Linked DNA regions of Kluyveromyces lactis. The protein of the gene in region 2 interacts with the protein of the main gene of each other region in a biochemical or structural test. Links are inferred from orthologs where the notes say so. Each region holds a gene or a part of one and is shown on either strand. Other genes may lie near its edges. The genes, in order: MXR2 and MGE1.

The links.
Region 1: the proteins of MGE1 (region 2) and MXR2 form a complex in vitro, tested with the Saccharomyces cerevisiae proteins (2 studies listed by BioGRID). The link is inferred for Kluyveromyces lactis from reciprocal best matches to the Saccharomyces cerevisiae genes MGE1 and MXR2.

Annotation. Positions count from the first base shown.
Region 1 is NC_006039.1:103,766-106,602, reverse strand, and holds MXR2 (peptide-methionine (R)-S-oxide reductase), read left to right. Parts: upstream 1-1,648; coding exon 1,649-2,248; downstream 2,249-2,837. Other genes in the region: STE50 (Ste50p), read right to left, coding at 1-791; EMI1 (Emi1p), read right to left, coding at 1,186-1,446; LSB5 (Lsb5p), read right to left, coding at 2,378-2,837. UniProt on the Saccharomyces cerevisiae protein: Methionine-R-sulfoxide reductase which catalyzes the reduction of methionine sulfoxide (MetSO) to methionine in proteins. Plays a protective role against oxidative stress by restoring activity to proteins that have been inactivated by methionine oxidation.
Region 2 is NC_006040.1:623,655-626,662, forward strand, and holds MGE1 (mitochondrial nucleotide exchange factor MGE1), read left to right. Parts: upstream 1-1,452; coding exon 1,453-2,184; downstream 2,185-3,008. Other genes in the region: mitogen-activated protein kinase kinase MKK1, read left to right, coding at 1-1,095. UniProt on the Saccharomyces cerevisiae protein: Essential component of the PAM complex, a complex required for the translocation of transit peptide-containing proteins from the inner membrane into the mitochondrial matrix in an ATP-dependent manner.

The DNA.
Region 1 (2,837 bases), on a different chromosome or scaffold from region 2:
AAAGACTTGAAGATCTGTACTGGTTTTTCATCGAGATCAAGAACTCGTTCTTGATCTCCATAGCATATCACTAAAACATGCTGTCTCCAATCCGTTTCATTCAAATTGTGCCTCTTCATCGCATTTCTTAAAACCTTTTCACATGAATCCTCCTTTGAGGCACGTAATTGTTTCATAGGTTCTGAACTTGGAGCTGATGATACTCCAGCTCCGCCTGGAGTATTCGCCGATCCGGGTGTGGTGGCAATATGTGACGATGAAACATTTCTGGTGCTTGAAGATTGTGGTGGCAGCCCTGGATTGGAATTCGATCTGTATTTGGGTGATGATGGCGTGTGTGAAGAATGGTGTGGAGCTCTATCGAAGTAATCTTGCGAAGAAGGTTGATGTTGAAGTTGTTGAGAAGACTGAGAGGAACCTGAACCAGATCCACTGTTCCTCTTCACGATTTCCAACAAATCCAATCTGAGTTGCGCATAATTAGATTGGAATTCTTGTAACTTTTCATTTAACGTCTGGTGTAAGCCTTTCATAGTCAACACTAATTCTTGTTCCGGTGCTTGTTCTTCCGTGTCAACAAATTTGTTTATGCATGTCTTAAGCCTCACGGCACTAATGCTATCAGGACATAACTCCTTGCAATCGGCAAGTGTGATTTCAGATAACGTAGATCCAGTTATCTTGTTCTCTCGTATTCTATCTAGGATGAATGTATCTCCGTCCGTTAATCCAAGTTCTGCTTTGACTTTCTTGCAAACCTCCTCAGTTGACCATTCATTTGTACCGCTCATTATTTGTTTTTGTTTCTATGCCTGTTCTTAAGAGATGTAAAAACACAATTGAATCACTGGTTAGCCACTGATCAATATGCTTCTGTTGGCTCAATGATATGCTCCACAGACTGAGCTGTTCCCCGGATCTCCTTTCATCAACTTTCTGGTATCACTTGGTTTTATTCAAATAATCGATTAAGTTTAAATATAGATTTTCCCATATTGTCGGAAATCATAAAGAAATGACAAGGAACCCTGCGAATATTCTGACATAAGATTCCTGGGGAACGGGGTAATCCTGTTACTACATTCGCGCTAGAAGTATTTCGATGCAATCGTAACTTTGATTCATTTATTTACAGGACATACGTGTGGAAAATATACAACTATCTATCATTCCAACGGCCATGGTTTATACTCTTTCTTTCCAAATGTCATCGGAGGTACCTTTCCTTTCTTGGTTCTTCTGCCACTGCTCTTTGTGCCATTCCTGTACCTTCACGGGATCTTTACTATGGATCACACAAAACTTAAATTTCTCGAATTCTTTCAGACATTCGTTCATGTGGCCATGTCTGTAGTAATTTCTAAACTGACCTCCTAAACTGAAACATCCTGTTAACTGATCAAATGCATCAGTGCAAGACATTGTTGTTGGATAATTAGATGACATAGTGTTGAATATCGTTTACAGTCTATGATATTTTCTATTTGGTAAGTAGCTGTGGTAATGGTCAAAACTGGGCGGACTGGTTTGCTGCTTCCGTAATCAACCTCCTTCTTTCGTTTTGTAGATTGCTCTTTATTGACAAAGATGTTTAAGCTGTAAATTATAGAATTTTGGATTTTTTCAACTAGCTTTCTGCAAGAAGCCGATGAGCCATGCTATCGTAAAGAGAAAACAACTGGAAACTCGCATTTGTAATCACCATCGGATCTATTGTTCAGCTTTCATTATTTTGTTGATAGGTATAATTCTTAAAGTTTTACCACTCCATAATTGTTTCACACTTTTGATGCTCTCAAGAAGTTGTTCAAGGATTTTATCTTTAAACTTATCAAAGCAATTTTACAGAACAATGAATAGCACCGGTAAATGGAATCCGAGTTTGACTTCAGAACAGCTAAGAGTACTACGTGATAAGGGTACGGAGAGACCAAACACAGGAAATTACTTGCACAACAAACAAACAGGGATTTACTCATGTGCAAATTGCGATTTGCCTATTTATAAGAGTGAGACGAAGTTCGACTCAGGCTGCGGATGGCCTGCGTTTTATGATGCTATACCGGGATCTTTAACTTTTACTCGCGATGAATCGTTTGGGATGGTTCGTATAGAAATATGCTGCAGTAGATGCGGTGGTCATATGGGGCATGTGTTCGAAGGGGAGGGATGGCAGAAAATCTTGAATTTGCCAACTGACCAAAGACATTGTGTCAACAGTTGCAGTTTGAACTTCAAGGAAGGTTAGTGCTCACCAGATTAGGCAAATAGTTGTAGGTTTGCAATTATTTAGCTCACTTAGTTATATTAGGTGTACAATATTACACAATTAAAACAGATGGCTCTACGGTTTTTTACGCTCCGCCAGGAGATCGCATCAATTCTTAATTTTATTGTTATCGCTAAATGGATCATTGGGCTGAGCGGCTCCACCTCTAGATGTGTACGAAGGTATTGATGCCTCATCAGAAATGTAAGCTTCGTTGTCCTCTTGATCATCTTCATCACTGTCACGTTCATTCAAAGAAGCCATGTCTCCTTCTTCGGCTAATTGGTCAAATGCCATCAATGCATTGACCAACTCCTCGTTAGCATGGAGTAAAGCACCTAAAAGTTCACCACCGGTAATCAGTTGCAAATAACGTAGAACCTTCCTTCTCAATGCTCTTGCTTGAACGAATTTGGCCGTACACAGCTCACTGTCGGTGGACTTACTATGAGCTGGAATTGCCAACAAAGCATTCGATAGAGACACTGCGGTTTCTAAGGAGTCGCTAATCAATAGTTTAATCTTAGGAGCTTCCTTCTCAAGGTCAATTCTTGGAATCCCATACCGT
Region 2 (3,008 bases):
CTGAAGATCAATACGGACCATCTGCCAACGTCTGGATCACAGCAGTCAACCCAAAGTGCAGATTCGATGACTTCCAATCTAATATCCATGTACGATAGCGAACCAACAACAAGCAGCAGCACAAGCCTGGTAAACCATGGGAAAGAAAGTGAAATTATAGAGCACGATAGAGATGATAGCACAGATGAACTTGAGTCAGATATATGGCAAACTTACAAGATCCATGAACAAATTGATACGTTGGGAATATTGGGCGAAGGAACTGGAGGATCGGTCACGAAATGTAAGTTAAGGAACGGTTCAAAAATATTTGCATTGAAGACCATTGCCACGATAGAGAATGATGGCTCAGAGAAACAAATATTCAGAGAATTGCAATTCAACAAGAGTTGTAAGTCTGATTTCATAGTGAGGTATTACGGGATGTTTGCATGCGAAGAAACCTCGACAATTTTTATTGCGATGGAATATATGGGCGGAAGATCGCTAGATTCGGTGTACAAGCACCTTCTCTCTAAGGGGGGACGAATTGGTGAGAAGGTTCTGGGGAAGATAGCTGAGAGCGTACTTAGAGGACTATTTTATCTACACGAAAGAAAGATCATTCATAGAGATATTAAGCCACAGAACATATTGTTCAACGAAATAGGACAAATAAAGCTCTGCGATTTTGGAGTCAGTGGAGAGGCAGTGAACTCTCTTGCCACCACGTTTACAGGAACATCATACTACATGGCTCCAGAAAGGATACAGGGCCAGCCATACAGTGTTACCAGTGATGTATGGTCTTTGGGTCTCACACTATTGGAAGTTGCACAGGGACACTCACCATTTGATACGGATAAACTAGCAGCAAACATGCCCCCTATAGAACTTTTGATGCTTATCTTGACTTTCACACCTGAATTGAAAGATGAACCAGAACAAGGCATAGTATGGTCCAAATCCTTCAAATCGTTCCTTGATTACAGTCTGAAAAAAGATTCAAAGGATAGACCATCTCCAAGACAAATGCTACAACACCCCTGGATGGTGGGACAAACCAAGAAACACGTTAACATGAAGAAGTTTATTCAAACTTGTTGGGCGGATTGATTGCTAGCCCCTACTGGCCCACTAGATAGAACATGCAGGAACATGTATAGATAAATCATTTCTCAAATGGCTGCATGTCACGTGTTCCACAACATAAATCGGATCAAGTTTCAATTTTTTCATAGAGTTTGGTTTGAATTGAAAAAATGATCATGAAAGAGAGAAAGAACCGTATATAAGAAGACATTTAAGAAGAAAGAATTAGTAAAACAACCCAATACATCTTACATACCAACTGTCACTACCTCTTATTGACACTCAGTTGGATTTGAACTCACTTTGTTTTGCTAAATAACCACTGTTAATAGTGAGACTCAAGTCGACCAGAGAATATTTACTAACAGAATACAATAAAATATGAGACCATCAACCAGATTCTTGAGAAGCGTTACCAGAACTGTTCCAATCGGTTTCAGATCTACTACTGTGCCATTTGTATCTAGCACTTTGAGATCTAGTGCTGCAACCTCCAACCAGTTTTCTGCTAGGTTTTCCGGTGTTAGATTCTATGCTGATGAAGCCAAGAAGGAAGAACCTAAGGATGAGAACGATGCAGCTGCAGCTGAAGAAGACGCAAATTTGACTGAAGAGCAAAAAAAGATTAAAGATTTGGAAACCAAGTTGGATGCCAAGACTAAGGAAGCCTCTGAATTTAAGGACCGTTTGTTGAGATCAGTTGCTGATTTCAGAAATTTGCAAGAAGTTACCAAGAAGGATATCCAAAAGGCCAAGGATTTCGCTTTGCAAAAATTCGCCAAGGACTTGTTGGAATCCGTCGACAACTTTGGCCATGCTTTGAACGCTTTCAAACCAGAAACTCTGGAACAATCTCAAGAGCTTTCTGATCTATATACCGGTGTCAAGATGACCAGGGACGTTTTCGAAAAGACTTTGAAGAAGCACGGTATTGAACAACTAAATCCAATTGGCGAATCTTTTGATCCAAATAAGCACGAAGCTACTTTCGAATTGCCTCAACCAGACAAGGAACCAGGTACCGTTTTCCACGTTCAACAAATTGGTTACACTTTGAACGACAGAGTTATCAGACCAGCTAAGGTCGGTATTGTTAAGGACAATGAAAATTAGAAAATCTCTCAATAAAGAACCCCGAACCCAAAATCGATCTACTTCAAATGACCTTACCATGACTTATAATTTACGATAATGCTTGTTTTATGAACCTTCTAACTTTTTTTCCCCTCCTCACTCCATTTTTCTTTCATTCTGCATGATAACATCGATCAGCTTTTGAACGGAAAACATCTCTTTTTGTTCGCAGCAGGTTTGACTTTTATGTTCCCTCATAACGGTCATAATGGTCTCGCCACAATGACCCTACTTAATTCCCATGTAAATAAACTTGCACATATGTATATGAATTCTCTACCATGATCCAAAATGAAAGGACCTTTCTTTCTCTTATTAAAACGGTCTGTCATCCGTTAAGGTACGTCCGAGAGCATGAACGAAACGCATAAGTAAGAACATCCAACCCCTGCAGGCTCTACATCTTTAGTATACTCTGAACTCAATCTTCCATCAGCCACTCCACCCAAAACGGTATCTATATGAGCCCTCAAATCCTCAGAGGAAGACATATCAGTATCTACTGTTTACATTCTGGCTCTACGCCTAAGTCTACATGTAATGAAAAGAAAACAATAAGAGAACTGTCAAACTCCCCTTCCCCAGAAGATTCAAGGGGTATACAGTACCATAGCGAACTGCAGAAGCCGTAAACATCAAAAAGATGAGTTCGAACAATATGTGGCAGTTGATATATTGCGTCCTCTTTGGAATCCTACCGTTCCAAGTTCGCGTATTTCTTAATTAGGTTTTTTGTTTAAAGCTTAAAGGAATTTTTATAAAAACAATTGAAATCAAAAGAAATAGTTTGTTTATATATGGAC